3 linked regions of the Nothobranchius furzeri genome follow. The protein of the gene in region 2 purifies or fractionates together with the protein of the main gene of each other region. This does not show direct contact. Links are inferred from orthologs where the notes say so. Each region holds a gene or a part of one and is shown on either strand. Other genes may lie near its edges. The genes, in order: ss18, smarcd2 and bcl7a.

The links.
Region 1: the proteins of smarcd2 (region 2) and ss18 purify together in Homo sapiens (affinity purification with mass spectrometry; 4 studies listed by BioGRID and IntAct, counting the BioPlex papers as one, with this or other methods). This does not show direct contact. The link is inferred for Nothobranchius furzeri from reciprocal best matches to the Homo sapiens genes SMARCD2 and SS18.
Region 3: the proteins of smarcd2 (region 2) and bcl7a purify together in Homo sapiens (affinity purification with mass spectrometry; 5 studies listed by BioGRID and IntAct, counting the BioPlex papers as one, with this or other methods). This does not show direct contact. The link is inferred for Nothobranchius furzeri from reciprocal best matches to the Homo sapiens genes SMARCD2 and BCL7A.

Annotation. Positions count from the first base shown.
Region 1 is NC_091751.1:52,442,549-52,446,205, reverse strand, and holds part of ss18 (protein SSXT), read right to left. Parts: coding exon 3,497-3,657; intron 3,201-3,496; coding exon 3,123-3,200; intron 1,187-3,122; coding exon 1,064-1,186; intron 1-1,063. UniProt on the Homo sapiens protein: Appears to function synergistically with RBM14 as a transcriptional coactivator. Isoform 1 and isoform 2 function in nuclear receptor coactivation. Isoform 1 and isoform 2 function in general transcriptional coactivation.
Region 2 is NC_091756.1:35,517,561-35,521,814, forward strand, and holds the start of smarcd2 (SWI/SNF-related matrix-associated actin-dependent regulator of chromatin subfamily D member 2), read left to right. Parts: upstream 1-1,408; 5' UTR 1,409-1,809; coding exon 1,810-1,950; intron 1,951-3,816; coding exon 3,817-4,010; intron 4,011-4,254. UniProt on the Homo sapiens protein: Involved in transcriptional activation and repression of select genes by chromatin remodeling (alteration of DNA-nucleosome topology).
Region 3 is NC_091746.1:40,397,349-40,399,759, reverse strand, and holds the end of bcl7a (B-cell CLL/lymphoma 7 protein family member A), read right to left. Parts: intron 2,158-2,411; coding exon 2,054-2,157; intron 872-2,053; coding exon 797-871; 3' UTR 649-796; downstream 1-648.

The sequences.
Region 1 (3,657 bases), on a different chromosome or scaffold from region 2:
AAAAATGTTATGTTGTAATGGAATTCATGCATTAGTTTTTGTTTGCTTTGAACCCAGAGCAGACGTCACACGCCAGACGACATCAACACTGCATACTTTAGTATTTGTTCATTTATCGTGAGTAATATCGATATCGCAATATTAAGCACTGTTATCGAATATTGCAGGTTTTCCTAATATCGTGCAGCCCTAACTCAATCCTTCAACAAGCTTGACAACATAGATCATGATTGCCCTCCATCGAACCTGTGTGCTTACAGCTCATTATAGCATCCACTTCTAGACGTTTATTTGAGAAACTTTGGGAGGTTTCTGTTATAGTGGACTGTAATAAAATCTGCTGGATGATGGCTCCCAAACTCAAGGAGACATGGAATTTCAGTTTGTCTTCATTAAAGAAGCAAGCATCATTAAAACTAAAAAGAAAAAAATATACATATAGATATTTATATATCTCATCAACCTCTGTTCAGGACTGCCATCTTTCCAGCCGTTGTGAAGGACTGAGGGTTGAAGTCAAATGAGGCCCACGCAGCATCGTTAGGCGCTTGTAATGCCTTGTGCTGCTGTGCATAACCTTGTGGGGGCCTCGGAGAACAGGCATGTGTATGTGCCAGATGGATCTCACCTCAGCCTCTGCTAGCTCATTACTAACATGAGCTCTGGCTCAGATAGCAGCGAGTGATGGGAAATAACAGAAGAAAGATCTTTGAACTTCTATTCTACAAATTCTTCAATGCGTGTATTTATTACCGCTACGTTGAGGTTTGGCTCGGTTTTATCATGGAGTCTAACCACAAGCCAGGGGTTGGGCATATACAACACATGAGCTGTAGAGGAAATGAGTACTTAATAATGTATGAACAGATAACTTTTGCAATGAGAAGAGGAAGCTAATAAGACAGGACTGCAGCTTACTAAGGCAGTCCTTTTATGTTTTGCTCCAGATGATGGTGACATAGCAACTAGCACCTCACTCAAATTAAATCATTCAAGTTAGACGAAGTCCGCCAAGAGAGCCAATGGTGCCTCCTACAGGACAAACGAGTTCCCCAAAACTCACCATAGCCTTGTTGCTGCGGTGGGTAGCCCTGTTGACCCGGGTACTGCTGCTGTGGCGGATAGCCCTGCTGCTGAGGCGGGCCTTGCTGGTACGGTTCCTGTTGTTGGCCATACTGCGCATTACCTTCGAACAGCATCAGCAGGCATTGTTAAAACACACCAAGATTCAAACAAACAAAACCAATGCTAGATGTAAAGTAACTGAGCTCATTTTCATTTTAAAATGTGCAGAAAGTCACAGAATATTTTAAATAAAACCATAAAACTACGGTCTGAAATTCTAAACTAATTCTCTCACTAAAACAGACAGAAACGGATCAGCACTTTTCTAAGTCTAGACATAATTACTTTAGTTTATTTTGAGTTAAAAGTGAACAAACATGACTTGGTGGCAGATTGTACACACCCACACTTTAGATATTTGTTTTCTTGTTAGAAAAAATAAGCTCCATGTTTGAAAGTTCATAGGGAGGAAAAGGGTTATTAGAAGAAAAACAAAACCACAAAAGTAAATGTTAACAAGACAAAGAGGAAGAGTTTTGTACTTTTACCAAGTCAGTGAATTGAACAGATCAAACTGCAAATGTTTTAGCGTCACGAGACATCTACTGTAACCGTCTCATGACACTGTAACAAGACAGTTACGCTAGATGGTAGTTTGTGCTGCTTTTTCAATATTTGTCAGTAAACCTGGACTTATAATTGCTTACAGAAAATGAACATGCAGACTGTATTGCAAAAACTGAAAAAATTAACAAAGTAGCATGTAAAATAAGTATGAGCCATCTAGAGCCTAAAATCCCCAGAATGCATTGCAGAAACTGAAATGTTTTGCTTTGTCGAAGCTAGGGTTGTCATGGTGTGAAAATTTAACCTCACGGTTATTGTGACCAAAATTACCATGGTTTTCGGTATTATCGCGGTATTTTTTTTTAAACGTGCTACATTTTCACACAATTTAATAAACCCTGTATATCAGGAGATATTGTCCTCAGTTTGTCTAAATTTTGCTTAAAATGTGTTATTTTGTAATTATGTTGTTTATTTGTTTACATATTTCCCCTTTAGTCTTTAAAATACCAATATTTGCCCATATCTTCTTATTTTGTCTGTTTGATGTCATCATTTTAAAAATATTAGATCAGATGATACTCAGTACTCAAGTAGCCTTCTAATCAGATACTTTTTTACCCTTACTTGAGTAATAAACCGTATATCAGGAAAATATTGTCCTCGGTTTGTGTCCTTCCAGTGAGCTTTGCAGATGTGGGAAAATGTCATCAGGCAGTAATCATTGTTAAATTCTTAATTATTCTCGGAGAGAGACCAACTCTTATCTGCCCCTGGGAGCCCTGTAATGCATAGCGTCATTTCAACATGGGGTGTCCGTGACACGGTTTATATGCAGGTAGCGGCGCTGCGGCTGCTTTGTATAGCGACTCGTTGCATTCTCCCTCAACCCAAATCCTCGGATCACGCATTCTAGCTAAAACGCTAACGTTAGCTTGCCTTGCGTTGACTGTAGAGTTGCGGGAGATGGTCACGCAGATGTGTCATGAGATTTGAAGCGTTGCTGCCTTTCACAGACACTTTTTCTGCACGTGCTGCAAACAGGATAGCCGTCTTCTATCAACTGTCCCTCGGCATTCTTCAAATATCCAAAAGATGCCCGTACTTCCCACTTTGTCTTCTTTGAGGGATAAAAAATGTCCTCCTGAGCGCTGCCGTCTCCTCCTTTGACCATTATTTCAGCTTTAGCTTCAAGAAAGTTTTGGTTGTAAACAACAAAGCGCGCATGTGCCGCCAGCAACTTCAGCAGATGATACGGTGGCTGGTAAGGGTCACCGCGCCTACACCACAGCCACGGTAATCCACCGAGATAATATCGTTTTTTTTTTAAAAACAAGACGGTTATTATTATTGTCAACTTTTTACCAGGGTTTACCGCTACACCGGTTACCGTGACAACCCTAGTCGAAGCATCGTTTTTGTGTTTTGACTCAACTCCTGGGTTGACTGATTGTCTGTGTTCTCCCAAGTGACTTGCAGGGTTCTCCTACCTTCTGAGGCGCCCTGTCCTGCGTGACTGTACTGGTCGCCATAGTAGTCTTCCTGCCCTGGATACTGCTGGGGGGGTCCTACATACAACATACACACATGTAGATTCAAGGTGCTGTTGCTGTGTAAGGGGGGAGGAGAGGGTAGAGGGGATAGACTCCTTGCTTCTAGTTCATCTTAAAGGAGCTTTCCCTTTGTCACAACTAATTTTACACGGGATTTTGGATTAAACCGTTACTGAACAAGTTGTCTGCAGTCTACAGAAGATGAAATAGAAACAGACTGGGAGGAACAAGAGTGAGAAACACAGGAGGGAAAAGGAGAAGGAAGACCGACACTCTGCTTGGATGTGGAACTGACACACTGAGTGGTTTACCTTGCTGTGGAGGTCTGTAGGGCGGCATTGGCCTCTGCCCCATGACGTGGTTCCCTTGGTTGACCTGACCCATCATACCCATTGGGGTCTGTTGGCCTTGGTAGTGCTGTCCACCACCACCAGGGGGCATGTTGTACTGCTGCGATGGAGGCTGCTGATGC
Region 2 (4,254 bases):
TAATTTTACTTGTGTTTAAATTTCAGTCCTAAAAATGACTGTTTATGTATATTTTTTCCCCAGAGAAACTGATTTAGTGGTTGAGCAGGAACAACCGTTTCAAGCGCAACAATCTGCACAAGCAGTATTTTGTTTGTAAAACACAGAAAAGCTTAGACATTAGGTAAACTCAAATGTCCTCACTGTTTTTATCACATACCTTAAAAATAATGTCAAAGACAATCATGATGATGGTTTGTCTTTTGTTTTCATTCGGTCAGGGTTACACGAGCAGCTCTGTTTGTTTTTCACCTGTGAAAACTTGTCAGATAATGTTCAGGAAATGAACGGTTAATTGTACAAGAAAGCTGCAGAAAGCAGGTTTTTTTGTTTTGTTTTTGGTGGATAGATCAGTTTGTTTTCTAGCATTCAAATATGTCTTTGTATCATGTTTACATTGTAAAGGGTTGCAAATGTCTGTGGTGTGAAGTGGTAGTGTAAATATTCTAATAGTTGAAATGCTGCTATCATGACTCAGTTTGTTTCATCAGTCTAGCATAATAAATGATTTCTTACCTGTCACAAGACTTTGGGCTCATGAGGCGCTCGTCTGACCACCAGAGGGAGCGTTTGGTGAATCCAATCAACCTGTTTTAAGGGAAAACCTACTGAATGAGTAGGTCACATTTAGATTTTTATCAAATTTGAACAGTTTAAGTTAACCTAAAAGAAAAAGTCTGCACACCCTTTATTAACCTCAAATTCTTGTCACCCAAAGACAAATGTCTCCCAGTAAAATGAAGCGGCTTCAAGCAAACTTCAAAATAAAACTTTAAAAATGTTTGTTTTTTCTGGACTACATTATCTTTTTGGCACGTCTTATGAAAGCTGAAATAAGCAGGTATTTTCTGAACAATAGTTTTGCTAGTTGGTGGATTTTTAAGAATAATAGTAACTGATTCTATTATGTATCAGTTTAGTTTTTAAAAATGTTAAATTATACATTGTTTTGTTCTAATAAAGCAATTGTTGCCATAAAACATCAAGAGTAGCCTAATTTAGTTTGAATTAGAACAAAACAATTAAAAGACATTAGGGGGAAACTGATTATTTCTAAATGGTAATCAAGGTACAGCAGTAATAAGTAATAAGAAACATTTCGACTTCCAGCTTTCTTTTTCTGTTTGCATAATGCCTGTGATTACTTCCATTTAAGAAAGTGGGCGTGCACTAAGGCAATGTCTTATAAAGGTCACATCTCAAAAATAAAATGCATTCATTTTAATGAGAGAATATTAACCGGTAAAATATTTTTCTTTGTGTTTTCTGAAAAATATGTTTTGAAGTTGATTGAGCGCCAAACCCATGAACTGATATTTCCGATTGTCCTGAAGGCAGCATGTTGGTGTCGCGTGTGGGCAGTTCAGGGTACTTTAAGTCGCTTCAGGACTGTAGTTTGTGGTAAGTCAGGCGCTGTCAGCTTTCACGGTAGCCTCCCGGTGAAACAGTGGAGTCTGTTGGTGCAGTTTATTCGTATAAAGATGGGTGAGATATGACAAGCGTCCACCGCTCCGTGTCTACAGAAGGAGCAAAAATAAGGTAGGAGGAGATCCCGGAACTTCAGTCGCTCTAGCTAACATTAGCTAGCTTTTTGTTGACAGTGTGCGTTGCTGTCAAACCCGGACATCACCTCCGCAGCACTAGTGGTCGGTAACGACCGCTTCTTCTGACTTCCTGCGCGAGTGACGTCCACTCACCAGCTTCCTATCGTACCTTGTTTCGTTTGAAGTTTCTGTCACTTTTAAAACAAACAACTTGTGGAGTTAGAAGATGGCATCAAGAGGGGGCTTCCCAGCTCCCCAGATGAATCCGAATGTGAACCCCATGAATGTTGGCCATGTAGCGGGGATGAGGATGCCGCAGCCCCCGGTGGGTTACAGCCGGAGCATGAACAACCCCCAGTATACTCAGGTTTGGTTTCTTTTTAATTGTGTAAACACATTTCATGATGTGGAAAATATAAAACTAATAATTATCGTTAATAAAGCTGGTCATTCTGACAGCTTGTAATGACTAAAACAATCTCTACATATTAATAGAAATCAATTTATAACCCATAAGAATGTGGGTGGTGCTTCCGCCTTTGAGAAGTCTCTAGTTACTTCCTGGCATCATTTTAACAAATACTTTTTTAGAAATGCGTCTCCCCATCACTGAGATCCTTTAAAATATACTATTCAAATACGGTTAAAAAAAAGTTACATTCAGTTAAAAATGATCGATGTCACGTGGTTGCCTTTGGCCTCTTGTCAGTTAGAGAAAAAGTTTATCATTACCACCATCTGCCCATGGGCAAGCCTGCATGCATATATTATTGCAGCGTTGCCTCCATCTGCAGCGTTGTGTGGTGTAGCTGACAGGCAGCAACACATTCAGAGATCGTTGCGTTTCTGCTACACAAGAATTCAAACCAAACAGTATAAAGTTTGTGGAAAAATAAAATAGTGGAGCATAAAAATCCACTAAAACGCCTAAAACCTGCAGTGATTTATTTTGCATCCTGATATACATCGACAAATATAACAAAAATATTATTGTGATAGGATTTCCCCTGGCTCTTGCACATCTATAATCTTTAATTCTATGTTTTTTCAGCCTTTTGTAAGCAGTTTTTGCAGGGCCCCACTGATGAGCACAAGGCCTCTTAAGTGACGGGTGTGGCCTTTAAAAACTTTATTTGCACGGCTATGTGCGAATGTAATAACCATGTGAGCAGTCTCAACATGGGTTAAGCTGCTTTTATTGTCGACAGTCCTAATGTCTTTTTTTGGATCGTTTAAGTAATGGTAATAATAGAGATGCACCGATGATGCTTATTTGTGATTTGTTTTAATGCAGTTGGTTGCACAAACTCAATTATGTTCCTGTGTCAAAATGCAGTTAGTTTTTGGAACTACATAACCTGAGATGTTTGCTGATTGTTCACTAAAGTAATTTATAGTTATAAGTGAAACTGATAGCATTTCCTACTCATTAATTTAAATAACACCATGTAAACAGCTTTTTCTGTTTGTGTTAAAATGTTTTTTTTGTAAAATGCATAAAAAGTAAACAAACCACTAACTAAAATGTAGCTTTGAACAAGAATCCATGTTTAACAAGGGGTGCTTATGCATCTGAGGTGAAAGGAAAGTAATAGTAGTCATTTTAAGCATAAACATTTTTGGAAGATTGTTTACCCATGCCTCATGCTACTACAAGAATAGGTGTGTTTCCTTTACCAGAACTTCAGGGTAAATGCAGCGAGGGGGAAACTGACCGGGAGAGCTGAAGGGGCGGTCCTCTTAGCTGTTGTGTCTCCATTTACAGTTTGGTTCTTGGTTGGTTGGTAAGGAATTTGCTAAAACGTCAGCACATTGCGACCGCTGTGTTGTGAGTTACATCATTGATTGGTGCAAAACATGCAGACCGCACCAAAAGCAGTGAACAAAACATCACTTCCAGGCTCAGGCATCATGGCTGAAATTCCAGCGCCCCCACCCTGATTTCCGACTGAGTTACAAACAATCAGCAGCATTCCCACTCATCTACTGCACTGGGCCATTTACCAGGCCACTCCAAGTCCCTACCCTTGATCAGGTACTCAGAAGGTTCCTGAAAATGGCCATTTGGGCGGCCCGGTCAAGTAGAGACACGTCTACCCTGAAGTTCCGGTAATGGAAATGCCCAGTTGTTTAATTATCTAATTTATAGTTTAAAATACTTTTTTTATATTCTAGTGGAAATAATTGCAATTAAAAAAAAAACACAGCTTCAATCTTCCTCCTCCTACTCCAGCGCCCTGGGATGCCACTTGGCAGAGTAGCAGGCCCCATGGGGTCAATGGGGGGTCAGCTTCCTGGTCCTTCCTATGGCGGTGGTAACATTCCAATGCGACCAGGCATGGGATCTCCAAGCATGGATGCCTCCAGGAAGCGTTTTCTTCACCAGCAGCAGCAGCAGCAGGAGACGATGGGAGGCCTGAGGAGAGGGTAAACTGTTGGGCCAGTTTTGTGACCCTAAATTACTCAGATAAACATAAGTGAAAAAAATACTCAGTTTATTTCATGATACAGAAAAGAGCAAAAGTCCACAATAATAGTTGGTTGTTAGTTTTAACTGTTTTTGCACACTTTAGCTTTAAACGTGTCACGATGAAATGTCATGTTTATTTAAATTTCACCTTCAGGCTTTCATGGAAATCAAGTTGCTGCTGCAGAAATGTCAGATGGGCCT
Region 3 (2,411 bases), on a different chromosome or scaffold from region 2:
TTTATCTGCACATGTACCGTCGCCTTCTTCTATGGACCACAAGCTAATTCACTTTAGAAACACATGAATGGAGAACCTTTATGAATTGAGAAAAAAGACATCCACTACAGCAGCAAATCTATCTCTGTGATCGATTGTGACATACCATAACAGTGCATTGACCCTCCTGAGGAAAAAATAAAAATAAAAAAAACATTTCCTAAACAAACAGAGAACATTAGTCTAACAGGAGGCAGATGGGGAGGATTGAAGTGACTGGGCCTTAGGGTGGAGGTCCCCCCCCCCCGCAGCTGCTGATCTGAGACCAGGTTAGCCCCACCAGTTATCCTGAGCTAAACCACTAGCAGTAAAACAATTAAAGAGCAGTCTCAGAGCAGCGTTCGCGATCGACCTCGTCCTAATCCCAGACCCACTGTTTTCACTCACAGAAGCAGGTCAGTGCTGAGTTGACAGCGCCTCCTGTGGTCACAAAGGGGACCGCAGCCTGGGGTCGGCATTTCTCTTGGCAAAGTAATGTGGAGGACTGTAAGGAAGCACGGAGGGGGAGCAGTGAACAGAGGTAATATCCATCCTCCCTCGGTGGCGGGGGAGAGTACAGGGAGAGAGACGGCCATTCTCTCGTTGGTCTTGTGAGTTTGGGAAGAGAAAAATTGGCAGAAGAATAAAAAATAATAATAAAAAGGGAGTGAGGAGAGCCGGTGTGTCCATTAGCCCTAAATCACCTAGAGTTAATGGAAGGAGGTACAGAGAGAGGGACACAGGAGGATGAGGAGAGAAATGACTCAGCCCAAAATCTTTAGCTCTCCTCAAAGTCCTGAGATGAGGACTCCAGTTTGCTTTTCTTACTGGGCGGGGCCTCCTCCTGTAGGTCCTAGGAGCCAGACAAGAGAAACAAAGTGTGAGATTTTCACCAGAATCCATAACTAAAACATCCTTCTCTTTAAGCGGCTGCATGGTGGAATCAAGATGAGTAACTCCATTTAATTTAATCTGTGTGCTAAACACACAGCTGCTGGAGTCCGGTAAGCTCCAAAAACATGTAAATGTACTTTACATGTGTGCAGAAATATCAGTTATGCTGCTGAGAATGTTAACACTGATGAACGTGTTTTTAAAATGTGCAAAGATCTGCTAAAACAAGACTTCTCTCCCATCCCCAAATCACTTCACTGTCCATTCCTGTTCTCATCTCGGTGGTAACCCAGAAAACTAAACAAATGAGTCCTATAAGGACAGAGTGAGCTGCCCGACTCGTTAGCTGCCAAAGAAAGAATTTGTTCTGTCAGTCGGTCTCAATTCAAAATGTACTCCTCAGGTGAGAAAAGAAACAGTAAAAAAAAACATGTCCAGTTTACTTTGACTCACATCGCTAGCATCACAGATGTTTTTGTTTTATTTTGATCGACGCGTTACTGACCATTAGAATTTATTAATGCATGTTAACCTTAAGAGCCCCAAATACTAATAGATAAGATAATTCACAAAAATATTCTCAAAAGACAAATGGTCAAAGTTTGCTTTTTACGAGTTTATGAAAGTTTTAAATGGAGGATGCAGTTTTTAAATAGGCTCAGTACAGAAGTGTAGCTGATGACCCAATCAACCTTTATTTCTGCTGTTCGTGCCATTCTTTTGCTCGTTAGATGTCAGCAGCGCTGTTAGAGACGGTCTATCATTGGACTGAATTAATTAGGTTCAGTAATATTACACACACAGCAGGAATCTGTCAAAAGGGACGAGCATCAATGTCACATTGTAAATGCCTCGAGGACTATATGTCTTTGGTGCGTCTCTATAAAAATTTCAGTTCAGTTCTGCTGAGAATCGCATCTCAACTCTGGATGAGGATGTGGAGTAGGGCAAGATGGAAGCGATGGTTGTATCAAGTTTATCCTACTCTTTCTAAAGACACGTTTTACACACAAGTGAATTTACTACTCATATTTGTCATTTACCCCCATCCCTTGTTCCTAGAAAGCAGAGTTAAACAGATGAAACTGGCCCCGCCCACATGGTCCCTGCTCCTCTCAGGTGGTCACAGACGTGTTTGTACCTGAGTGGCTTTGCTGTTAGAAGAATCCTTCTCTCCTGAGGACATGCTGTCTCTCTTGGTGCTTGGTGCCCTCTCTGAGGTCTCTGATAAAGAAATGTTCTTACCTGGAATTTAACACAGCAACAAATCAGTCTGACTCATTTAGGCTCTCTAGTGGCACTGTGTGGTTGTGTGGAGTAACTGCACAGTTGGATTAACGGAGCCACAATATGACTGGTCTTTTTCCATGTACAAAAATTAAGAAAATCTAATTAAATGTAATAAATGTTGCCATACAACCAAAATCAGATTCTTACAGAGCCTGCCAGGTACCACATATTAAAAACCAGGCTGTAGAAATCTGTCCTCTTTGTTTAAG